7 linked regions of the Cricetulus griseus genome follow. The protein of the gene in region 4 interacts with the protein of the main gene of each other region in a pairwise test. Links are inferred from orthologs where the notes say so. Each region holds a gene or a part of one and is shown on either strand. Other genes may lie near its edges. The genes, in order: Rela, Wdr83, Mad2l1, Keap1, Ccnb1ip1, Lsm3 and Dpp3.

The links.
Region 1: the proteins of Keap1 (region 4) and Rela interact in binary tests that used the Homo sapiens proteins (3 or more experiments, as listed by UniProt). The link is inferred for Cricetulus griseus from reciprocal best matches to the Homo sapiens genes KEAP1 and RELA.
Region 2: the proteins of Keap1 (region 4) and Wdr83 interact in binary tests that used the Homo sapiens proteins (3 or more experiments, as listed by UniProt). The two-hybrid records come from large-scale screens. The link is inferred for Cricetulus griseus from reciprocal best matches to the Homo sapiens genes KEAP1 and WDR83.
Region 3: the proteins of Keap1 (region 4) and Mad2l1 interact in binary tests that used the Homo sapiens proteins (3 or more experiments, as listed by UniProt). The two-hybrid records come from large-scale screens. The link is inferred for Cricetulus griseus from reciprocal best matches to the Homo sapiens genes KEAP1 and MAD2L1.
Region 5: the proteins of Keap1 (region 4) and Ccnb1ip1 interact in binary tests that used the Homo sapiens proteins (3 or more experiments, as listed by UniProt). The two-hybrid records come from large-scale screens. The link is inferred for Cricetulus griseus from reciprocal best matches to the Homo sapiens genes KEAP1 and CCNB1IP1.
Region 6: the proteins of Keap1 (region 4) and Lsm3 interact in binary tests that used the Homo sapiens proteins (3 or more experiments, as listed by UniProt). The two-hybrid records come from large-scale screens. The link is inferred for Cricetulus griseus from reciprocal best matches to the Homo sapiens genes KEAP1 and LSM3.
Region 7: the proteins of Keap1 (region 4) and Dpp3 interact in binary tests that used the Homo sapiens proteins (3 or more experiments, as listed by UniProt). The two-hybrid records come from large-scale screens. The link is inferred for Cricetulus griseus from reciprocal best matches to the Homo sapiens genes KEAP1 and DPP3.

Annotation. Positions count from the first base shown.
Region 1 is NC_048596.1:53,704,338-53,707,837, reverse strand, and holds part of Rela (transcription factor p65), read left to right. Parts: intron 1-488; coding exon 489-593; intron 594-772; coding exon 773-985; intron 986-3,500. UniProt on the Homo sapiens protein: NF-kappa-B is a pleiotropic transcription factor present in almost all cell types and is the endpoint of a series of signal transduction events that are initiated by a vast array of stimuli related to many biological processes such as inflammation, immunity, differentiation, cell growth, tumorigenesis and apoptosis.
Region 2 is NC_048596.1:159,287,796-159,291,295, reverse strand, and holds part of Wdr83 (WD repeat domain-containing protein 83), read right to left. Parts: intron 1,910-3,500; coding exon 1,842-1,909; intron 1,747-1,841; coding exon 1,638-1,746; intron 1,549-1,637; coding exon 1,434-1,548; intron 1-1,433. UniProt on the Homo sapiens protein: Molecular scaffold protein for various multimeric protein complexes. Acts as a module in the assembly of a multicomponent scaffold for the ERK pathway, linking ERK responses to specific agonists.
Region 3 is NC_048601.1:76,486,659-76,490,714, forward strand, and holds the start of Mad2l1 (mitotic spindle assembly checkpoint protein MAD2A), read right to left. Parts: upstream 2,801-4,056; 5' UTR 2,672-2,800; coding exon 2,599-2,671; intron 2,276-2,598; coding exon 2,129-2,275; intron 1-2,128. UniProt on the Homo sapiens protein: Component of the spindle-assembly checkpoint that prevents the onset of anaphase until all chromosomes are properly aligned at the metaphase plate.
Region 4 is NC_048597.1:134,095,702-134,099,723, forward strand, and holds the start of Keap1 (kelch-like ECH-associated protein 1), read right to left. Parts: upstream 2,801-4,022; 5' UTR 2,553-2,800; intron 2,416-2,552; exon of another isoform or gene 2,266-2,415; intron 2,228-2,265; exon of another isoform or gene 2,060-2,227; intron 2,044-2,059; exon of another isoform or gene 1,805-2,043; 5' UTR 1,609-1,804; intron 1,199-1,608; 5' UTR 1,152-1,198; coding exon 513-1,151; intron 1-512. UniProt on the Homo sapiens protein: Substrate-specific adapter of a BCR (BTB-CUL3-RBX1) E3 ubiquitin ligase complex that regulates the response to oxidative stress by targeting NFE2L2/NRF2 for ubiquitination.
Region 5 is NW_023276807.1:206,446,618-206,448,729, forward strand, and holds the end of Ccnb1ip1 (E3 ubiquitin-protein ligase CCNB1IP1), read right to left. Parts: intron 701-2,112; coding exon 501-700; downstream 1-500. UniProt on the Homo sapiens protein: Ubiquitin E3 ligase that acts as a limiting factor for crossing-over during meiosis: required during zygonema to limit the colocalization of RNF212 with MutS-gamma-associated recombination sites and thereby establish early differentiation of crossover and non-crossover sites.
Region 6 is NC_048601.1:52,288,973-52,292,955, forward strand, and holds the start of Lsm3 (U6 snRNA-associated Sm-like protein LSm3), read right to left. Parts: upstream 2,801-3,983; 5' UTR 2,672-2,800; coding exon 2,651-2,671; intron 155-2,650; coding exon 44-154; intron 1-43. Other genes in the region: Xpc (DNA repair protein complementing XP-C cells), read left to right, coding at 2,937-3,030. UniProt on the Homo sapiens protein: Plays a role in pre-mRNA splicing as component of the U4/U6-U5 tri-snRNP complex that is involved in spliceosome assembly, and as component of the precatalytic spliceosome (spliceosome B complex).
Region 7 is NC_048596.1:54,373,667-54,376,968, reverse strand, and holds part of Dpp3 (dipeptidyl peptidase 3), read right to left. Parts: intron 138-3,302; coding exon 1-137. UniProt on the Homo sapiens protein: Cleaves and degrades bioactive peptides, including angiotensin, Leu-enkephalin and Met-enkephalin. Also cleaves Arg-Arg-beta-naphthylamide (in vitro).

The sequences.
Region 1 (3,500 bases), on a different chromosome or scaffold from region 4:
GCAGCTCACAGGAAGCTCTCAGATGACCTGGGCTGACACTGATGGATTAGTAAGCAGCAGGGCAATTGAAAATAAAAGGCCTTTGGAGCCCCAAGGACCGGAAACCAGGATTAACTGGGAGTGAGGAGGGAAAGACTCATTGCCAAGGGTAGAGATGAACCAAAAGCTGAAAATGTGTTTGATCAGGCAGAGGGAGACAAGGTGTCAGATTGTTTCCTTTGGGCTGTAAGGTCTGTGAGGACAGGAATACGTTGGGCTCTTTGTTGCTCTGCTGCCTTTTCTAGAGCCATGCTCCACACACACAGCAGGAGGTGTTTTTGAATTGGTTGAGGTGAAGAGCAGATGGGATTAGTCTGCAGAAGTGTTGTCAGCAAGCTGTGGAAGGAAGACCTTGACATGGGACTTGCCAGGCATCGCTGTTACATCTCCTGTCGGGTGCCCTGGAGACCTGTGGTGGCTCAGGGTTTCCATCCATGTCACATCCTCAGGTGCACCCAACACTGCTGAGCTCAAGATCTGCCGAGTAAACCGGAACTCCGGGAGCTGCCTTGGTGGGGATGAGATCTTCTTGCTGTGTGACAAAGTGCAGAAAGGTACACACTGGGCTATGTGTGCCACGAGGGGCGGGGTGAGGCTGAGAGGGTGATGAGTGCCAGGGACCTCAGTGGCTTCAGGAGAAACAGGGTGACGTCTCAGGGGAAAAGCATCAGGAGTTGGGGACCAAGGTCCATTGGAATTCAGATACTAACCCTTACTACTCTGTCTCCTGCAGAAGACATCGAGGTGTATTTCACTGGACCAGGCTGGGAAGCACGAGGCTCCTTTTCTCAAGCTGATGTGCACCGGCAAGTGGCTATTGTGTTCCGGACTCCTCCATACGCTGACCCCAGCCTGCAGGCTCCTGTGCGTGTCTCCATGCAGCTTCGGCGGCCTTCTGATCGGGAGCTCAGTGAGCCCATGGAGTTCCAGTACCTGCCAGACACAGGTGTGATGCTAGGGAGAGCAGTACCAAGGCTTCTGTACCCCAGCTGGGAAAAAGACCAGGATGTCTGGGACAAGCACATAGGATTTATACATACTGTAGTTCATTGCACATAGTATTTCTGTCAAAGACCACATATGCCATGGTGGTCATATAACACTGCGCTATCTAGCTGGGCAGTGGTGGCTCACCCTTAATCCCAGCTCTCAGAAGGCAGAGGGAAATGAATCTATGAGTTCGAGCCCAGCCTGGTCTATAGAGCTAGCTCCAGAATAGCCAAGGCTACACAGAGAAACTCTGACCTGGGGGAGGGGGGTGAGGAACTACACTGTCTAATGACATAGGTGTCTTAGTTTGTGTAAGTAATCTTTGAGATGCTCATATAAACAAAGAGAGAGAGAGAGAGAGAGAGAGAGAGAGAGAGAGAGAGAGAGAGAAAGAAAACCAGGGCTGGAGAGGTGTCTCAGAGGTTAAGGGCACTCTTTGCTCTTCCAGAGGTCCTGAGTTCAATTCCCAGCACCCACACACATGGTTGCTCACAATCATCTATAGTTGGATCTGGTGCCCTCTTCTGGCATAGGTCCTATGTGCAGATATAGCACTCATATTCATAAAATAAATCTTTAAATTTCAAGAAAAATAAAAAAAAAGGTAAAACCAGCACCTGGGAGGCAGAGGCTAGCAGATGGATCTCTGTGAGTTCTAGGCCAGCCTGGTCTACAAAGTGAGTGCCAGGATAGGCTCCAAAGCTACACAGAGAAACACTGTCTTGAAAAACAAAACAAACCAAACAAAAAAGATGAAAAAGATGCTCATATAATAAGCTGGGTACTCCAGCAAACGTGTGTAGCTAGCGTGCAGATGGTGTGGAAATAGACGGACCTCTAGAGCTATTTGGCCAGCCAGCCTTGCTCCAGATTCAGTGAGAGGTACTGTCTCAAAAAATGAAGTGGGCTGGACATGGCAGTGCACACCTTTAATCCCAGCACTTGGGAGGCAAAGACAGGCAGATCTCTGTGAGTTCAAGGCCAGCCTGGTCTACCTTACAAGTTCCAGACCAGCCAGGGCTATATAGTGAGATCGTATCTCAAATAATTAAGGTGGATGGGGCTGGAAAGATGGCTCAGTGGTTAAGAGCACTTGCTGTTCTTCCAGAGAACCCAGGCTTCATTCCCAGCACCCTGTCTAGTTCCACGGGATCTGACACTATTCTGAACTCTGCAGGCACTGGGCATGTACAAGGTGCTCACACATATAAGCAGGCATTGAGCCTTGGCTTTGACATACTCATACACACATCTGTACACACATGCATGCACATTCATACACCTACATGAACACACACACACAGACACACACACAGAGGTAATAATAAAATGGATATTCATCCAATGACAAATTTGCCTAGCAACATGTCTTAAGATGTGTCCCCATTGTTTTTTTTTTTTGAGGGGGGTGTTTGAGACAGGGTTTCTCTGTGGCTTTGGAGGCTGTCCTGGAACTAGCACTTGTAGACTAGGCTGGTCTCGAACTCAGAGATCCACCTGCCTCTGCCTCCTGAGTGCTGGGATTAGAGGCGTGCGCCACCGCCACCACCACCACTGCCAGGCTGTGCCCCCATTGTCAAGCAACATATAATTATAGTCATAATCTATTTCTTCCCTAACTCTGACATCCAACTTATTCAGCTCTGTCTACTGTATCTACCCTTCCTATGAGTGGTCCTTTTAACCTCTCATCGCCTTTTTTGTTTTTGTTTTTGTTTTTTTTTTTTTTTTTTTTTTTGGTTTTTTGAGACAGTGTTTCTGCTCTGAAGACCAGGCTGGCCTCACAGAGATCCGCCTGCCTCTGCCTCCTGAGTGCTGGGATTAAAGGCCTGTGCCACCAATGCCTGGCGTATCATCACCTTTTTAGGGGAATGATTTAACAGAATTCACTAGCAGTAGAGGCAGTGGCACACCTAAACCAAGGTCACTTAGCTTTGTGGACTTTGTGCCACCTTGTGTCTCTTATCACTTTTGGGGGACCAAAATAGTTCCATTATAGAATGTTTTGAGGTCCAGCCTCTGGTTTCACGGAAAGCTCCGGCCCACTATTGTATTGCTAATGCTAGCAGGTCTGCTATTGTTTACAATAGCCTTAGTATAGAATGCCTCCTAGTTTGCATCTCTATGGGCCTAAGCATCTGAATAGGCCTGCATCTGGGCCTAGGTGCTAGGTGTAAGGTACAAGTGAGGACAGACAGGAGCCATCCGACCAGAGAGGAGAACAGAAGGACAGCAGTGGTCTCCTCGTGGCCATGGAAGCATGGTTAAGAAACAGCCAAAAAGATGGTAAATAGAGAAGAGACTCCAGTTTTACAACATGGAACTGAGAGCTCTCTAAAGATGACAAGATGCCTGTGTTTGGTCTTTATCGAGGCTGGGTTGCTAGGAGTTTCCAGGTCCACACATCCCCACTCAGGCCGAACCTCATGGCTTAAGGCTGAGACATGCCAGGTCACCACAGTCACTAATCC
Region 2 (3,500 bases), on a different chromosome or scaffold from region 4:
GCTCTACCTCCAGGTGCTTAAGTATCCTGGGAGTCTCTTATACCTCACTCACTCTTTTTTTTTTTTTAAATAAAGATTTTATTTATTTATTTATTATGTATACAACATTCTGCTTCCATGTATATCTACACACCAGAAGAAGGCACCAGATCTTTTAACAGATGGTTGTGAGCCACCATGTGGTTGCTGGGTACTGAACTCAGGACCTCTGGAAGAGCAGTCAGTGCTCTTAACCTCCGAGCCATCTCTCCAGCCTGCCTCACTCACTCTTACCCTCTTTTAAAAAAACAAAAACACAAAGGGCTCTGTAGTCCCAGGCTGGCCTCATACTTGCAGCAAATGCTGCTGCTTTTTTTTTTTTTTTTTTTTTTTTTTGAGACAGGGTTTCTCTGTAACAGCTTGGGCTGTCCTTGAACTCAGAGATCCATCTACCTCTGCCTTCCAAGTGCTGGGATTAAAGGCGTACCCCACCACCATTCGACTCAGCAAACCTTTCTTTATTTGCAATATAGTGCTGGGATTACAGGCTGTCTTGGAACTCAGTGTCTTTCATAGCCTCACCAGTTGCTGGATTACATGCATGTTCTACAGGGGACCCTCTTGGCACTGCCTTCAGACTCTAGAAGTGCCTGTTCTGCTTCTTGCTCCAGGCCTGTCTTGTTCTGAGTTCACTGTTCTCTGACATTCTGGGCACTAGCAGGCCTACTTGGCAGGCCCAGTGATTGTTATTTGCCTTACACCCCATAGTTACAATACTATAGTTCCTAACCTCATACTTTGTGTACCTTTGTGTGCCCTTCAAGGTTAATTTTAGTCAGGAGTTTTAGAAGTTGACAGACTGTTCTTGTTACCTTAGTTCCCAAAGCAAGAGCTCGTCTCTGGGGTTCCATAGTTTCCCCAGTCTTCTTACTGAGCTTAATTCTGCTGACTGGACCCCAACAGTGATATCTCCTTCTTGGAGGCCCTAGAACCCTGATCTCACTAAGCTAATGGTCCATTTCCCACTTGGGGCATATCAGGTTTAAAGCCGTATGAAGCCCACATGCAGATCAGGTTTTCTTGGGTGATGCAAGCCCAGGCTTGGTGCCCCGCACTGGCTCTTCTCATGCTTTAGTAGCTCAGCCTGGCACTTACAGCTCTGTCTGACCTGGAGCCAGCTACAGCCACCACCTTCTCCAGGTTCCTTAGCATATGCTGTTTCTCTTATTGAATTTGCTACCTTCTTTTACCTCCTTCCTTCAAACTCCAGCCTGGGAGGCTGAGGCAGGATAAATTCAAGCCCAGTGTGGGGCTACAAAGTGAGACCCACCTCTACACTCTATGCCAGAGGTCCCAGCTCAAATACCTAACATTACTGCTCTCTTCAGACCTGAGAGTAGCTGAGGTAAACATATAGCTGATGCCCTGGCAAGGAGTGAAAGGGGAAGGCTTACCTCTACCAGGTCCCAGAAGAACACTTTCCCATCCTCAGAGCAGCTGACCACATGTGTGTCACGCTCACTCAGGCAGCAGTCTAGCTTGTACTTCTGGTTCTTATGGCCAACATACCTAGCAGTAGAGGTGGGTGGAATTGAGGGGCTTGTTCCTTCTAGCCTCAAAAGTAGGGTGAGGGGGAAAGGCCAACCAAGGAGACTTACTCGCCCAGCAGTTCCCCTGTGTCTTTATCTAGAAGCCGCAAAGTAGAGTCCAGGCTGGATATCAGAGTGCACTGACCATCCTGGCTGAAGCAGGTGCAGGTGATGGGGCCTGGGAGAGAGTATGGCAGGCAGGTGAATCTGGATGCTCTTGTCTGCCCCATCATCTGCCTTGATTGTCCTGCTGGGACCCGAGACCACACTCACTGCCCACGTAGTCTGAGAAGACCTGCCCCATCCTTAGGTCATAGCGCCTCACTCGACCATCCACAGAGCTGCAAGAAAAAGTAGAAGCATTACAACTATTTACTCCATGGGCAACCTGTGTCCCCATGCATTTTTGGCTATCTATGAAAGTGTGAGCAAGGGAAAAAAATGCTCTCTTGTTTTGTGACTTAGGTCCAGGGGACAATTTGGTTCCATTCAAAGACTGTGCCCTCTTTTCCAAACCCCCAGAGCTCTCTAGATCTGCATCGGCACAGCAGTCAACCCTGTCTGTCTCTGTCTACATCCACATTTGACCAACTGCAGCTCAGGACTATTCTTATAAGACTATTATGTTTTTTTTTTTTCTTTTTTTTTTTTTAAAGATTTTATTTATTTATTTATTATGTATTCAACATTCTGCTTCCATGTATATCTACACACCAGAAGAGGTCACCAGATCTCATAAGGGATGGTTGTGAGCCACCATGTGGTTGCTGGGAATTGAACTCAGGACCTCTGGAAGATCAGCCAGTGCTCTTAACCGCTGAGCCATCTCTCCAGCCCCCTTTTTGGGTTTTTTGACAACAGAGTTTCTCTGTGGCTTTGGAGGCTGTCCTGGAACTAGTTCTTGTAGACCAGGCTGGTCTCAAACTCACAGAGATCTGCCTGCCTCTGCCTCCCAAGTGCTGGGATTAAAAGCATACACCACCACCTCTCGGCGTATTATCTGTTTTTTTTAAGACAAGGTTTCTTTGTGTAGCCCTGGATGTTCTAGAACTCACTCTGTAGACCAGGCTGGCCTCTTAGCATACACAAAGCCCTGAGTTCCATCCTTAACACACAAACCACGACCATGTATTAGGATGTACAGGCTCAATGAAAGCTATTTTACAGAGGGCTGGAGCAGCCTAAAGTTTGCTGTCCTTGGTAGACTCTAAAACCAGCCTACTGCAGATAACAAAGCAACTGCTCTCAGGGTGTGATTCCTTTCCCACTTCCAGTCTTATTCTTACATGTATGAAGCTTTCTGCCTGGAATCTCCAATCCTTAGTGCCCAGGCCCACCCAGCAGCTTTCATTGCCTTTTTTGAGACAGAATCTCATAGAGCCCTGGCTCATCTCCTTTCACCATGTGACTGAGGCTGTCCTTGAACTCCTGCTGGGTTACAGGTGTCCTATCACATTTAGCTCACCAGGAAACTTTCAAAGCACAGCCACTTCGTTCCAATCTTTCCCTCAAAGAAACATGGCCTTTCACTACTCTCAGAAAATTATATGTTTGCTGGGAGGCAGGCGGATCTCTGAGTTCAAGGCCAGCCTGCCTGGTCTACAAAGCTACACAGAGAAACCCTGTATTTTGCCTGCATGTATGTTTGTGTACCATGTGCATGCCTGGTGCCTGCACAGGTTAGAAAAGGGTATCAGATTCTCTGGAACTGAAATTACAAACAATTGTAAGTCATCATATGGGTGCTGGGAATTGAACTTATGTTTCTTTGGAAGAGAGGCCAATGCTTTTAACTACTCATCTCTCCATCTCCCATAGTTAACAAAACTAACCTCTATGCTCAGCTTTTTGGGATCCTTATTTTGACTTACAGAATGAAATGTTACCTGAGCTGGGCCAGGCTTTGAGGTACAGCACTCAGGAGGCAGAGCT
Region 3 (4,056 bases), on a different chromosome or scaffold from region 4:
AGTGAACAATTAAACTTGTGTTTCCAAACTATCATACTTGGTAGTAAGTTAGCTGGAGGGGGTAAAAAGAGGGTCTACAGACACTAGGATTCAAAGTTCATAGCATAAACCGGTAGAGAGGGAACAAAGCAATTTCATGCTTAAAACTGTTAAGATTATCTGATTAGCTTTCAATAAGAATCATTTTGATTCGAGGCCAGCCTGGTCTCCAGAACGAGTGCCAGGATAGGCTCCAAAGCTACACAGAGAAACCCTGTCTAGAAAAACCAAAAAGAATCATTTTGAGGTAGCTTTCAGGTTTCAGACTTCATTTCTCGTTGGACTGTTAACCTAGTAACTAATGAACAATTCTCGAGATCATCCTACATTTAGTTTTTATTCTGCAGAGTATAAAGCATACAGAGATGTCACGTTGTTTATGAGTCTGGAGTAGAGGGTTAGCTTAATCACATAAAAGTTGGTAGTGAAGTTGTGAATGGCACAGATAATCTAGCAATTATAAAGAGGATCTCAGATGGAACCCTGAGTTAATACTGAAATTGGGATAGCAACTCAGTATACATCATTTTTCTTTTGTAAGATTAAAGTTGGAGGGAGATGAAACCAACAGGAAGAATGGAAATCATAACAGAGAAACAGAAAATACAAGAAAGAAAAGAAAGAAAGAAAGAAAGAAGTAAAATGCTTCTAAAAAGGCTAGAGGAAATGGGACTGAAAAGAAAGAGAACAATTTGCCTATTCATAAAGAGCAATTCCTGTGTTTTAACTAGGACAGGAGAAGTGAGTGACAACAAAAATGTAGATGAGGTACAATGTCACCAGTGACAACCTGTAACCCCAGTATCAGTTAAGGCTGGATTCTCTATTGAACCAGGATGATGATGATGGTGATGACACCTAGCAATAGCTATCTAGCAGTTCCAGGTCAAGTATGAGTGACATCCAATGACCATACATGATTCCACCCTGACCCACAATCTGGGAAAATAATGAGAGATGGGCTGCTCCTCTCAGCGTATACGTATCTTGCTTGCACTTGAGAATAGAAATCTATCTCCACATATTTATCAAGTACTTCACCTTTCCTATTCTAGCTGTCTAATCTATCAAAGAAGTTCTCAACCAAGAGCAACTTTATCTACAGGGCTTCAAGGTTATCGAATTTCAGGATAGTCAAGAGCTTTTGAGAGACCCTGCCTCAAAAGTAAAACAAAACAAAAAAAATATGGCCTTAAAGAGATGTCTATGTTCAGCTGGTCACCAAAAGAAGGTCATTTTAATGCTAAAGTTAACAACAACAAAAAAAAAATGCAATGAACACTGTAATGAAACTACAATAGAAACAAACTAAAACATCTTTGCAAAAAAAAATTTCTTAGGAGCAGTGGTGCTCTTCCTAAGAATTGACACCTTCTTCGGGTCTTTTAAGGAACCAGGCATGCACCTGGTACATACAGACATAACCCAGGAAAAACACCCAAACACATGAAAAACTAGAGAGAAAAAAGACAGCTGTAATGCTTTTGGAATTGGTTTTTATAAGACTTTGTTGGGAGATACAAGGCTAAACACAGAAAAGATTATTATAATTAGAATGGCAATCCTAAGTGGTGTGCAACACGAGGAACAAGGATTCCAGAAGGAATAGAAATAGGTGGGAATAAGTATTGGCCAAACAGGCAGCACAACACTGAGCTACGAATGAATAAATAAACTGTCCAGATACTGAATTACAGCCACCGCTTTTAAGGAAGATAAAGAGAATAGTTGAAAAGTAAAACCGGAACTTTCCTGTATATTGTTATTTAGTAATACCCTGGTTACAACAACTGCAGCATATCAATGGGTGTCTAAGAAGAGCAAAATCATCTCGTGTAAAACCATCAACTCGTTGTACCTGTTTAAACCGCAAAATGCATTCCTAAAGCAGCTGATAAGACACTTCCGACTCCGAGACGCCTAACATCAATACACTCAGGCTACTTAAAAGCAGTGGGAGAAAGGATGGGATTTCCCTCCATTACTTCCTCCCTCCCAGTCCAGAAGCGCTGTATTTGAGAAGGCATATTGCTTTAAGCCACCCTCGTAAACGTAACCCTGTCAGAGGTAAAACTCAAAACGTGATTACCTTTCAGCTGTTCGACCACATTATTGAGATACTTTATGAGCTCGGGGTCAGTAGTTACAAGCAAGGTGAGTCCGTATTTCTGCACTCGAGTAAAGGTTTCCGACGGGTATATGCCACGCTGATACAAAATGCTGTTGACGCCAAACGCTGAAAACGAAAGGAATCGAGCAGTGAACACCTACTCACGTTTCCAAGTCTTCCAGAAAGCAGAGCTGACACAAAACGACACCGGAAAACCTTCAACCCAGCAATGCCAACTCTCACGACACCGCAGTCTAAGTGCAAATACACATGTGCTGAGCGGATGTCAACACAGACCCCGGCTTTCAAAGCGCGAATGGCACGATGCCCCAGGGAAGGCCCCTCCGTTCTCCGCCACGGCACGAACGAGCAGGAGACCGGGCGGTGGTTCCGCCCTAGCGCGTCCTAGGTCCCGGCCAGGCCGCTCTCCGGCCGCATTCAAAACTCACAAAAAAACTCGGCCACGATCTCCGCGCTCCCGCGCAGGGTGATGCCTTGCTCTCGGGCGAGCTGCTGCGCCATCACTCGATCTAACGGAGACCGCTGTCAGCCTCACCGCACACCGCGCCCTCCCGGCTCAGCTCCTTCAGCTATTCCCCGCCACCCGGTTCAAAAATAACTACGCAGCCCGCGGGGCGCTCCGTGCGCAAGCGCAATGTCCCGCAAGCCCCACCTACACCGCCGGTTTCCGGCCCCGGCCCCGTCCTATAAACGCCTCATTTCTCCCTAAGCCCGCCCCATACTTCCGGTTTCCGCCCTAAGTCCCTCCCCCATAACTGAACCCTCTAAGGACGGTCTGCTCTCAAGATTCCGTCCAGAAGCGCCGCTTCCGCTGTGAACGCAGTCCCTCGAGGACCAGAGAGCGGCCCCTAAGTTCCGCCCAGAGCCACTTGTATCCGGCCCTGGCTCCGCCCTCGCTGCTTGCGCAGGCGCAGAGTGGGCCTGGCTCCGCGCTCTCCGGCTTCCCGCCCGGGAGGGTCGCTGTGGGTGGGGCCTCTGGTCGGGTGTCCAGGAAGAGCCCCAGGGTGACGGGGTGTCCAGGAAGAGCCCCAGGGTGACGGAGGGAAGGCTCGCCGGCTAAGTCCAGGTCCGAATATCCCCGAAGTAGTCTCAGCTTCGTGGATAGTTTGCAGTTTGGGAGAGCCTGTGTTTTGTGTGGGAACGCGAATTTTCTGGAGAAATATCAGAATAGGGACTGGGTACAAGAGAAGGCTCAGCCAGTAAAGCCAGTAAGGTGTGTGCCTTCAACACACACACACACACACACACGAGAATCACACACACACACGAGAATCACACACACACACACACACACACACACACACACGAGAATCACACACACACACGAGAATCACACACGAGAATCACACACACACACACAGTAAACACACACACACGAGAAACACACACACACACACATACACACACGAGAATCACACACACACAGTAAACACACACTCACACACACAGTAAACACACACACACGAGAATCACACACACACACACACACGAGAATCACACACACACACACAGTAAACACACACACACGAGAATCCCTTCAACACACACACATGAGAATCCCGCACACACACACACACACACACACACACACACACACACACGAGAATCCCTTCAAAACACACACACACACACACACACACACACACACACGAGAATCCCTTCAAAACACACACACACAGTAAACACACACACACACGCACGAGAATCCCTTCAACACACACACACACACACACACACACACACACACACACACACACACACACACACACGCATACAAGAATCCCTTTCTTTGTAATTAAAATAGCTTGCTTTCAAGTTCTTTGGTCAAACGCTCTTCCTTTTTGAGTATTTAAAGCCTGTACCAGAGCATGTAAAGTTACACATGG
Region 4 (4,022 bases):
GCCCTGGGCTCCATCCCAGTACCACTTAAGTCAATTGTGATTATGAATGTCTGTAATTCCAGTACTTAAGAGACAGAGGGGCTGGAGAGATGGCTCAGAGGTTAAGAGCACTGGCTGTTCTTCCAGAGGTTCTGAGTTCAATTCCCAGCACCCACATGGTGGCTCACAACCATCTCTAATGAGATCTGATGCGTTCTTCTGGCGTGCAGGCATATATGGAGGCAGAATGGAAGCAGAATGCTGTATACATAATAAATAAATCTTAAAAAAAGAGAGAGAGAGACAGAGGCAGATGAATCAGGAGTTTAAAGTCATCCTTGGCTACATAACCAGATTAGGGCCAGCCTGGGCTACATGAGACTCTATGGGGGAAAAGGAGGAAATAAAAAGAAAATACCAAACAGAAGCTTTCCTCCAAACTTGAATGACTGTTCCAGTCTCCAGGGGAGATGGCTATGTTGGCCTGTCTCACTCCTGGTGACAGCTGAGCCCAGGCCCCAGCCCTGACTCACCTCCCCAAAGTGCATGTAGATATACTCCCGGGCACGCTGGTGAAGCTCAGTGCAGCCAATCTGCTCAGCGAAGTTGGCAATGCCAATGGCATTGCTAGGGTCCAGCTGCTGCACGAGGAAGTCGCTGCAGGCTCGGACCACACTGTCAATCTGATACATGACTGCACCATTCATCACGTGCAGCACACACTTCTCGCCCACGGAGATGGAGGCCGTGTAGGCGAACTCAATAAGCCTCTCCATGACCTTAGGGTGGATACCTTCAATGGACACCACCTCCATTCCCTGCTCCCGAAGCCCATTGGTGAACATGGCCTTAAAGACAGGGCTGGAAGAGGCCAGCACCACCTTGTGAGCCATGAATTGGGCAGCTGGGATGTCCTCGTATTTGACCTGCAGGGTCACATCACAGAGCTGCTGGCTCAGCCGAAGCTCATTCATGATGCCAAAAGCCTGCTTGGTGTGGTCCTCTAGCGTGTAGCTGAAGGTGCGGTTGCCGTCCTGGGAGGGCGTCACCTCGGCCTTGCACTCCGTGGAGGCGTACATCACCGCGTCCCCGGCCCCCTCGGGGCACTTTGACGACAGGGGCAGGAACTGGCTGCTGCGGGGAGCCCCGCTAGGCCTGGGTTCTGGCTGCATGGGGTTCCGGGTGACAAGTTACAATTCCACCACTAGCAGTTAGGGTCCTGGAGGGAGGGAAGAGTACAGAGCTGGGAATAGGTGAGGACAGACCTTGCAACGCTTCCTTTTCTGTCTTTCCTTTTTGTTTTTTTTTTTTGGAGATAGGGTCTTTGGGAGCCCAAGTTAGCCTCAAATTCACCATTTAACTAAGGCGGGCTCTTGAACTACTGATCCTCCTCTGTGCTGGGATTACAGTGTGTGCCGCCATGCCCAGTCAGGCTTCCTTTAGAAAAATTAAGCAAAAGTTTCTAGAACAGTTTGCCAAGCCAAGTAAACTGCATAATCCTGACTCCATTCAAACTAATTAGTCCCAACTCACTCGCCTGAAGGCTCGTCTAAGAAACATATCACATCATGTCCCTTTCTGCTCAGAATCGCCCAACACCTTTCAACAAGCCCAAGAATGGAAACCTACCTCAATGGCCTGCAAAGGCCCACAAAGTCAGCCCCTTTCCAACCTCTTCGCTCACTGTCCCAGCCATCCTTCCCTTCCCTGCCTCCAACAAGCCAAATTCCTTTCTTCAACACCTCACCAAAATTTACAGAGCCTGCCAAGTATGTAGTAGGCACTGTTCAGAGCTCCAGGAACACAGCAGGAAGAGAGAGGAGGCCTGAAAATACAGTGTAGAGGAAACACTGGGTGCCAAGGTTCTGGGGCAGAAAGTGTGGGCATCAGGAATGCCCACCATGGGCTATACAGGGACCCAGGAGCCCCCTGGAGAGCTGGGGCCAGGGGACGCGGTATATTTTGAATCGGGGATGTGGGGCGAGGGTTTTGGGGCTCAGGCTGGAATCGCATCCCCCTCCCGGTGTTAGGATGTCTATGAGAGCACCACGGTGGGGGTGCCGGGGGCGGTGGAACGCACCAGGGCCCCAGTAAGTGAGCGACTGTCACGCGTGACCACACTGCCGGAGCACAGGCCTGGCATTGCGCAGGGGGCTGCGCAGCGACGACCCGGTGCCCGGCGCCTGCTCCGGCGGCCTCCCCACCGCTCGCTCGGAGGCGCAGCCCAGACGCCTGGAGGGCCCGCAGGGCCTGATCCCGGGCCCCGGCCCGGAGCGGCGCACTCACCCCGCCATGGCCGCGCTCCGCCTCCGCCTCCGCCGCGCGGGTCACGGTGACTAAGCACAGCGCGCCACCCTGTCACAATAAGAGTCCCGGGGCGCCGGCCGCGGGCGACCCCTCCCCTTCACTCGCCGGCCGCGGCCGCCACCTACGCCGGCGGGAGGGCGGGCTCGGCGGCCCGGGTGCGCACCGGGGGCACGCGCTCCCCCCACCGCGTGCACGGCCCCCCACGCGCGGCCGCGGGCGGCACTCGGAGCCGACTCCCCATCGCATCTCCGCGGGTGCTCGCTCACCTCCGTCCCACCCCCCGGGTGTCTGTGTCGGTGCCACGCGTCCAATCCGCGCCGCCGGGCCGCCACGCGCCACGCTTCCGGGAGGAGCCGAGGGGACCCGGGGGTCCTTGGATCGGGGCCGCGGTGCTGCGGGGTCGCTAGCGGGCAGCACGCGTGGGAGGAGCGGGAGGGCGGAAACGAGCGGCGGGCACGCAGAGGCGGTTCCAGCCCTTCCTGCAGGTGCCGGGCGGAGGGAGCAGGGCGTGGGTCTGGGCGGCCCTAGGAGCCTGCCTCCGGGTTAGGCTGTCGGGGCTCCTCCTGCACCCTCCGGCCCTCCCACATCCCACACCCACACGGTCCGGCTGGACCCATCTACCTGGTTGATTTTATCTATATGTATATCTTTTAAGATAACTTTATAATGTTTGCATTTCAGTTTGCGTGTATGGGTGGGTGTTTAGCCTGGGTGTCTGTGTACTGTGTTCCTGCATTGCCTTCTGAAGTCACAGGTGGCTGTGGGCCACCGTGTGGGTGGGGGAATTGAACTCTGGTCCTCTGCAAGAGCTGCACGTACTCTCAAATGCTGAGCCATCTCTCCATCCTTATAACTTAAACAAAAATTTATTAATTTTATGTATGAGCGTTTTGCCTGTATGTGTATATGTATGTACGCCACGTGAATGCTTGGTGCCCACCGAGGATGGGATTCCCTGGAACTGGGTCTACACAAGGTTGTGTGAGCATTCGGGATCCGGGAATCAAGCCTGAGTCCTCTGTAAGAGCAGTATGTCATTGTTTCTTTTGTTTTTCTTTTTTTTAAGATTTTATTTATTTATTATGTATACACTTGTCTGCATGCATGCTTGCACACCAGAAGAGGGCACAAGATCTCATTATAGATGGTTGTGAGCCACCATGTGGTTGCTGGGAATTGAACTCAGGACCTCTGGTAGACCAGCTAGTGTTCTTAACCAGTGAGACATCTCTCCAGCCCCCCAATTTTTTTGTTGTTCTTATTTTTGGTTTTTTGTTTGTTTTTGTTTTTTGAGACAGGGTTTCTCTGTGTAGCTCTGGCTGTCCTAGAACTCACTTTGCAGACCAGGCTGGTCTTGAACCCACAGAGATCCTCCTGCCTCTGCCTCCCGAGTGCTGGGATTAAAGGCTTGCGCTACCACAGCCCAGCTGGGCCAAGTATTCTTAGCTACTGCGCCACTGTAACTTCTTTTTGGGACAGGGCCTCATTGTCTGTCACTGGCTGGCCTTGAACTCTCAGAGACCCTCCTGCATGCTGGGGTTAAAGGCTGTGACATCACTCAGGGCTTTTTTACATTAATTTATGTGTTGTGTGTGCTTGTGTAGAGGTCAGAGAATGACTCGAAGAAACTGATTCCCAGCTTCCACTCTGGAGATGGAACTCAGGCTGTCATACTTGGCAACAAGCTGGTTCACCTGCTGAGTCATCTTGAAGGCCCCCTTGTTGAGTTTTGCAAC
Region 5 (2,112 bases), on a different chromosome or scaffold from region 4:
AAATTGTACTTTCATTCACTGGCACAACACACTTCCAAAACAAGCTAATACAAATAAAAATACATGACTGTGTACAACACATGCAAACAGCAAGCCACCATTTTCCAAGACAATCATTTTTTGGCCAACACTTTCCAAGATCATAATTTTTACATAAATATACTGGCAAGTAGAGAAAATCAATGCACACACTTAGCATATACATACTAGACCGAAAGCACCATGTAAATATAACACTGGTGCTTACAGACGCATGAACGAAGTTTGGCCTGAAACAGGGATTATGCAACAATGTTGTGACTATGTGAGCAGTGAGACTGAGATTCACCAAATGCCTATGCTCTAAGCAAAAAAATGAAGAAACCAAACAGGAAGCCACACACCCTACTGCAACCCAGCTTCCTCTAAGGTGAAAATGTGAAGAGAACTCAGGAATGCCAATTACTTCAGCTAGAGTAAAACTGTACGAAAACAGACACGGGCTAGACATGTGAAACAAGCTAAATTCTTTTTGCTTTAAAGGCCCTGCTGCAGACTTGCTGCTCTGATTCATGGCTTTGAGAAGCAAAACTAAAGAAGTTGTTAATGGGTTCAGGTGCTGTGGGGGAATCCACAAAAAATGGTCTGAACTGAACATCTTCATCTCCACCACCTCGGCTTCCAACTGGTGTATGGTCCAAAGGAAACTTTGAGCTGTTCCCTGGGGGAGAAAATCAGGGAAGAATGTAAGAATATCTCCTAATAGCTCTTTAGAAACAAACTAATAGCTGCTAAATAAATATTTTAACAAAATTCAACTATGAGTGGATAAAATAATTATCTTAAGTTCATCTCCTATGATAAGATAAATACAGACCTAACCCAAGACCAAAGACTGTGTCACTCAGCTCCCCCCCAGGACAGAACATACTATGCCTTCTGTGAAAAATCAAACAGACTAGATAAACATCTAACTATTTCTACCAGACCCCTCCTTGGCTTTAATAGATTTCATTCAAGAGGAAAAAGCGGATTGTATCTGCCTAAAAGTAACAGAGGTCAAAAGCTAAGTACAGGGCTAGAGAGCAGCTCAGTGGTTAAGAGCAGTTGCTGCTCTTGCAGCAGACCCAGGCTTGGTTCCTAGCATTCACATCATGGGTCACAACCATCCAGTTCCATGGGATCCAACACCCTCTTATGGCCTCCATGGGCAGCACACAAGTAGTACACATACATAACACACACACACACACACACACACACAGGCAACAAATACACATAAAAAAAGAAATCTTTTTATAATGTACAAAAAGAATATAAGAACAACTACAAGAACAAAAAAATATGTACAACATATTTTTGGAATGACTAAATTATTGTGCAATAATTATTTTATACATTGTGAAGATGTGTCTTTGCCAAGGCTCCTTCTGTTTGGTTTAATAAAGAGCTGAATGACCAATAGATAGGCAGGAAGAGGTTAGGCAGGACTTCTGGGCACAGAGAAAAGAAGAGGAAATGAATCTAGGCACAGGGGAAACACCAGAAGAAACAGGAAGTACAAGATGGAAGAGAGGTAAAAAGCCACAAGGCAAAACATATATATATATATATTTTTTTTGAGACACGGTTTCTCTGTGTAGCTTTGGAGCCTGTCCTGGCACTCGCTCTGTAGACCAGGCTGGCCTCGAACTCAGAGATCTGCCTGCCTCTGCCTCCCAAGTGTTGGGATTTTTAAAGGCCACCAACACCCGACTCCAAAACATAGATTAATATAATTGGGTTAATTTAAGTTATAAGAGTTAGTGGGACAAGCCTAAGGTATTGGCCAAGCTTTCATAATTAATAATAAGCATCCATGTCATTATTTGAGAGCTGATTGTACAGAGAAAGACTTGCTACAGTAAATTGATATTTATAAATATGAAGCAGGCAGAAAACTATTTTTAGACTGGCTCTCACTCTAATACTGACACTAGTTTGTAGGCCAATTGGTCTCAAACTTACAGCAATCCACCTGCCTCAACCTCCTGAGTAAACCTCCTAGGATTAAAGGCATACACCACCATGCCAGGCAGGAGCCTTCCTTATTTATTTGTCTTTTTTCCAGACAGGATCTCACTATGTAGCTTT
Region 6 (3,983 bases), on a different chromosome or scaffold from region 4:
TGATAGGGAAACATCTGGTTTTGAGATAATTTAAAAGACTTACATGTAATCTGCCTCGAAGCTCTCGGTCGTTTCTCATCTTCACATAAATTCGCTCATCCAAACTGAGCCTGATGAGATCCAGGGGCTCCTCTACGGTATTGGTAGTCTGTTGCTGATGAAGGAAACACACTTAGTAATGGACCACCAGAGGCAGAGTGGTGTTTCAATCACTGTTAAGCAGTGAAACCAAGGGCTAGTCACATAACCCGTTTATACCTTAGTCTAATTTGCCAAATGCAGAAAATAGTGTCTCCCCAATACTATTATTTTAAATGACATATGAAAGCTTAGAACGGTGCCTCGATGCTATGTAAAAGAGGAGAAAAACATTATGTGGAGAGGAGTTAAGTAGCAAAATGATGACTGAACTTCCAAAAAATCCAAAGTGTTAGAGTACCACTTAGGAACCTTAGCTTTATCTTTTGTATAATTCAATCATTTGAAAAACATACCTGCAATACCTATTCACACACTACTAAAAAGATCTGACAGAATTTGAAGTCAGTACAGCGCAGGTTAAGTTTAGGGTGCTAATTGGCTGGCAAGATGAACCTACCTACCGAGTAGTATAGTATAGAAGTTAAAAGAACTGAGTCATTAGGAAGCCTTTGTTCAATTCTGGGTTCTGACCTGGCTCTTCTGAACTGGGATTAAAAATCATGCCATTTCTTGTTTCAGACTCCTCATTTGCAAACTGGGGAGACCACATCTTTGCCTCAGAGATCTTATAAGGACTAAAGGGTCTATCTGAAGTAAAAAGGAAACACTTCTAAATAATTACCTTTTTTTTTTTTTTTAAGAGGCATGCCCATGACAGCCTTTGATGAGCAGCAAGTCTTTGCCTCTCAGATGCTGGGATTGGGCAGGTATGAACCGAGTCTGGAACTTTTAAGAGTGTGTGTGTGTGTGTGTGTGTGTGTGTGTGTGTGTGTGTGTGTGTGTGATGGGGTTCAAGTAGCTGTCAGAAGACAACTTTATAAAGTTCTCTCCTTCCTCTGTGTGTCCCAGGAATTGAACTCAGGTTGTCACGCTTACAAACTGCAAGCATTTTTACCTGTTATCTTACCAGCCCCACTCCCAGCACCTGTAATTTCTTATATTTAATATAATCTCTTGCTTGCTTCAAGATTTAAGAATGCATTCTTGGTCAGTCATTTCAGAGGAATGATAAATCAGAATTACTCTTCAAGAACTGTTGGAACAGGTTTCAAAGGTTAGAACTGGGATGACCTGGATTCAGCTATATGAAAGAGGTGGTTCCAGCCATCAAGAATTAGTAAGACCATTCAGCAAGCTTCTCCAGTGAGTACCTGGGGTCAGTGAAAGCTGAAAATTGTAGGCTGTGTAGATATGAGGCTGATGACAGGAAACAAACAACCCTCCCAGAACACCCCCAACCCCGGATCTCAACTGGTGCTTTCCTCCTCCCACCTTAGCTCAGCAGGCTTTTGTTAAGAAATCAGACAACCAACCACTGGATTACAACAATACAGAAGCCGCATCCCCTCAATGGAGCTCACTCTAGTATGGAGAGGGGCATATAAATACATAGCTGCAAAACAATGAAATCTGTTCCCACGACAGCCCTCTTCAGTCTAGGATGGCCACTGTCAATCCTTTTCACCCTGTAAGCTTTACATTCTGCCTTTTCAAAGAAGCTGCCCCTGAACATTGGGTTCGTTCCCTCAACTAATAACCTGCTGAGTGCTAACAGCACTGTCCTAAACCTAGGAAAGAAAAGCAAACACAGAAAACCCCCCTTTATTTTAAAGGTTTACTTTTATCGTGTATGTGAGCAGTTTGCCTGTATGCATGTGCACCACACGCTGACACAGTGCTCGGTAGCAGAGGCCAGAAGGGGGCAGAGGATCCCCTCCTGCAACTGGAGTTAAGATGCGTTGGGGTGCTGTTAAGCCAACATGTGGGTGCTGGATCCCAACCATGGTCTTCTACAAAAGCAACAAGTGCTCTTAACTCCTAAAGCAACCTCTCCAGCCACCCCCGCCCCAATGCCCCTATTAAGTAACTTACGTTCTAGTTATGGAAGAAATGTCTCAGATAAAGAAATACATATTTAAAATAACATGCTCTGTTATTTTAAATACCCGTGTGTGGGTGCGTGTGCGTGTGAGGGAGTGCAATCATTTCGGAACTCCACAGGTAGCTAAGGAATAGGGGGAAGAGCAGGTGAAGAGGGCAGCCTGTGATCCTGTGTGCACCCGATCTTGGCTTGCTTTCTCCAGACTACATCTCCACCAGGTTCTCTACCTCCCTCCCTCCCTCCTACTGCACTCCAAGTGAGCCGCTGCCTGCGCACCAGGCGCTTGCACGTATTACAAAGCTGGTGTCCACCACTACCTCACGCTTTCTGTCTGGTGTCGACAGCCGTTTGCATTTTACAGATAAAAGCCGATGCCGAGCGTGATGGGCAGATAGGCGGGTTGAGAAAACTCTAGGCCTGCGGAAGTTTCAGGAGCCGGCGCGGCTACGGAAGGCCGTGGTTCCTCGGGACAAAGAGAGACGGGCCGCTTCTCAGCGAGCGTGGAAAACGCGAACCCGACCTGGAAGCGCAAGCGCTTCCTCTAAGAGCGCCTCCGGACAAACTTACCTGATCTACGTCGTCCGCCATGTTTCAAACGCTGCGCCCTTTCCACCTCTCGCGAGAACAGGCACTCAGAAACGCAAAGGGTTCCACTCTCGGGAAGTAGACCTACTTTATTTTTGTCCCTTTGCGCCCCTGTAGTTTGCAGGGGGAGGGGTTTCTCCGGAGGGCGTGGTCCCAACCTGGTCAGGGGGCGCGGCCCAGGCATGGCCCGCCTCGGGGCGGGGCGAGCACGCGGAGAGTGTCTGCGGCCGGCTGGCTGCGGTAGCCCGGAGTGTCGCTGCCGGGCAGCATGGCTCCGAAGCGCCCTGCGGGAGGAAGGCGGCGGGGGCGCGGCCGAGAAGCCGAGAACAACAAAGCAGCCCGGCCGGAGGAGAGCGAGGCGGGTGAGAGGCTGCGGCGCGCAAGGCGATGGTGGCGGAGGCTGGGGCGGGCAGCGGGGCGGAAGGTCTCCACGGCCGGATGCGCGGCGCCCCGAGGGCCTCTACCATCAGCCCTGACCCCACCGTAACCCCTAGGACCAAGTCCAGCCTCTTGGCAAGTGTTGAGGGCCGATCAGGAAAAAGCTTCCCTGTTGCCCGGTGTCAGAGAGACACCAAAACTAGGACAGAGGGAGACCTTGTAGTGTGAGAATCTCTCTCCAAGTTGCATCCACTGTAATTCCGGCCCCAGGTTTGCGATGCGCTTCTTACCTTGGTCTTGAACCAAGGAGAAGCTTAAAATATTCCCATCTCAATAAATCACTCCTTCACCCACCTGTTAAAACACGCCTTTTCTTAACTGCTAGTTCGTCAGGAGGTCCAGTTCAGCTTCGGAGTCACTGAAATATGTGCCTAATTCTCTTAATTTCATAGCTGGTATCCTGTTCCTGTCGTTTTCTAGTTGAGTGAGTTCCCCTCTACATCAGATCTCCATCCAGCAGCCAAGTGATGTAGAACGACAACAAAACTTCATATGCCTTGGTCTTCTTACTTAAAACCTTCTTAGATGTGTGCTCTCCGTGTATAGCATCTACCTCACTTAGCATGTCTCTCTTCCAGATATTCTTATTTTAAACAGCAGCCCGGCCTAGAGCTCTGGGTTTTTCCTGTCTCATCCTCATGATCACAGGGATTACAGATGGCTCTTGGTGACTGCCTTTCTCTTCTTTGAATATACTGTTTATTTATCTGGAGGCTTGGCCTTCCATGTTTCTTTGCCTTAGAATGTTCTCCGTCGCTGTTGCTGGGTCTAATTTCTTCTCTACTTGAGGTCTAAGACATTCCACGGTCATCTTAAAGTAGTCATTCCTAGGTATCCTCCACCACAGAATCACAGTGATGTTCCTATTCACCTATCA
Region 7 (3,302 bases), on a different chromosome or scaffold from region 4:
ATAAGTTTCCGGGATTCCTTGCGCAGCAGAACTGTGTCCCTGAGGGTGAGGAAACACTCTGGAGGTGCATCAGTGACGGCTGCATACCCCTCATACAGGGCCCGCCCTGCAACCACATCCCCTGTGGACTTCAGCACCTGCAAGGAGGAGGAGTTAAGCATGTAGAATGGGCACTCACCTTGCATCCACAGGACTCTGCCAGGGACCACAGCCAGCTGGGCCTAGATCTGGATAGGATGTGCTATGAAACGATCTGTCTTCTATAAAATTTCAGTGCTAAAACTTAATGACCCAGTTGGGTATATGGCACACACCTATAATTCCATAACTTGGAAGGTAGAGACAGGAAGATCGAGAGTTCATAGTCATCCTTGGCAACATAGGGAGTACAGCCTGAACTACATAAGACTGCCTCAAAAACAAACAAAAAAAAAATCCTAGATGGCTATTTTTTTTCTCCTTTTTTTAAAGACAGAGTCTCGCTATATAGACTAGGCTGGCCTTGAACTTACTTGAGAACTGCCTGCTTCTGCCTTTTCCCTGTGGAGATTAAAGGTTATGTAGCACAATGTCTGACAGCTAATACATTCAAAAGGGGCTAGTGTATATATTAAGAGGTTGGGTTTGGGGGTTGAAGAGATGGTTCAGTGGGTAAGAAAGAGAAGCATGAGTTCAAATTCCCAGCACCCATGTAAAACTCTGAGCAATGACACATGGGTCTGTGATCCTAGTGCTGGGAGGTAGGGGAGACAGGAGTGTCCCTGGGTCTTGCTGGCTGCCGGCCTTGCTCCAGGTTTAGCGAGGGACCCTGTTTCAAGGGAACACGGCAGAGAGTGATAGAGCAGGACACACACATACACCACGCTCACACACATACATACACACACCCAAAACCAATTTAAATGAAAATTAAAAGAGGTGAGGCTTTTAACAGCATCCAAGCTCCGCCTGTGTAAATAGTATTAAAGCCCATATAGAGGCAGCTATGGAAGCATATCTTTCCCTTCCACCAACACAGGTTCTCCTGTGACACTGTCTCTTCTATGTCTCTCTCCCACGCTCTTGAGCTTGTTATATTAGACATTGCTCCGCTTCTCTTTAACCTTTCTCTTAGAAAGCTTCAGATACAGCTCAGTGGTATAGTGCCTGCCTAGTAAGACTGAAGTCTGAGGTTCAATTCCTAGTCTGGCCCCCCATTGTTTTCTACTCCATGTTTTATTTCTTTTTGTCTTCAGTTAGATCTACAATCTGTCTTTCCTATGAGCCAGGGCCTTGCGCTTGCTAGGCAAGCGCTCTACCACTGAGCTAAATCCCCAACCCCTAGTTTTTTTCTTTTTCTGTTTCCTTGGGGTGTGTGTGCATGGGAGTCTTTTCTCTCCTTCCCCCATGTAAGCTCTGGGGGGGATTCAGGTCATCTCTCTCTCACTTCTTGGTAATATGTAATGTTCATCACACCAACAAGCCAGACCTGGGTAGCTCAAACTGGAGTTAGTAAAACGGATGCCAAAGGAGCCAGTAGTATCAGCAGTGACTCAGGCAGCTACAGTCTACTAGGAGTGGGTTCTAGCACCCTCGGTGGATAACAAAATCTGCATGTTCAAGTCACTAATCCAAAAGGGTGTGCTCCACACATCTTCTGGTATAGTATATTTTAACCACATTTAGATTTCTTACAAATTTTAAAGATTTAATTGTGTCTATGTGTTTGATGTATATGCACATGTGTGTTTGGTGTGTGCAGAGGAAGCCAGAGAAAGACACTGGGCATCCCGCTCGATCGCTCTCCACCATAAACCCTTACGAGGCCTCTCACTAAACCTGGGGCTGGTCAAGCCCAACGATCCTCCTGACTATGCCCCTTACAGTGCTGGGGTTACAGGTGTATGCAACCAGGCCTGGCTTCTCACATGGGTGCTGGGAATTTTAACTCAGGTCCTTAAGCTTGTGCAGCAAGCATATTTACCCACTGAGCGGTATCTTCAGGTATGCATTTTTTTTTTTTTTTTTGAGACAGAGCCTATGTAGTCTACCCAGGTTGGCCTCAAACTAATCATGTAGTGAAGGATGCCACTACACTCCTGATCTGAGTGCTGGGGTCACAGGTACAAACCGACACTTTTACACAGTGCTGAGGATGGAACCCAGGGCTTCATGTGCATTACACCAAGCACTCTACCAACTGACCGACAGCCCAGCTCCTTGGATTACTTATCATACCCAAGACATGTAATGCTATGTAAATTGTTCTTATTCTATACTGTTTAGGGAATGGCAAGAAAAAATATTGTGGATGCCCAGTACATACAAGATAATTCTCTTGAATATTTTTGCATGTGTGCAGTTGGTTGAATTTATGGATGTAGAATTAGTGGATACAGAAATTGGATGATAGGAATAACAGGAAGCAGGAAGTCCCCGGGGAAAATGAATAGTCAGTGCCATGACTGAATATGAGGCTACTATTCAGTTCTGGCCAGTTAGTCACAGAGGAATTGAGCCTACTGTTGCCAGACCTCCCAAGAAGTCATAAATACAGGTTCACACCTAACCTTTGTTAATACCAGTGGGAAAAACATGGCTGACACAATATACAGCTGAATCAAAGATGACTTCATATTCTGTTTCTGTGAAACACTGCTGAGGAAACTGAACTTGATGCTTGCTGTAAGATTCCCCTTGTACAAAGACTCAACTGAGTCACTCATGGTGGTAACACCTTTAGCCTAGCACTAGGGAGAAAGAAGCAAATCAGTCTCTGTGAGTTTGAGGCCAGACTGGTCTACAGAGAGTTGCAGGCCAGCTAGGGCCACATAAGAAGACCCTGCTCAAAAAAAAAAAAAAAAAAAAGACCTACTGGCTCAGCCTCTAGAAGGGGCTGGTTTAATCTTGCTTAGGAGCTGGTAGATTTGATTCCTTGATTCCTACACCTAATGCTCTGAGAACAGCTCCTTGTTTTTGCCATTTGCAGCAAAAAATCTTGTATTTATTAAAAAGTTGTAAAGATGGTACAGTGAGCTCCAGAGGCTGTCAGCATGACTTTCTCTCTTTACCACCTTCATACTGGCCCTTTACTACTAACTAAATTCCAGCCCCCACCTAGGTCTCATTAGCTTTGCCAATTAATGCCCCCTTCCTACTCCTGAAACTACCAAAGACATCATGGTTTTCTTTTCTTTTTTCTTTTTTGCTTTTTGAGATAGGGTTTCTTTGTGTGACAGTGTGACAGTCCTGGCCATCCTGAAACTCACTCTGTATATCAGGCTGTCCTCAAACTCACAGAGATCCATCTGGCCTCTGTCTCC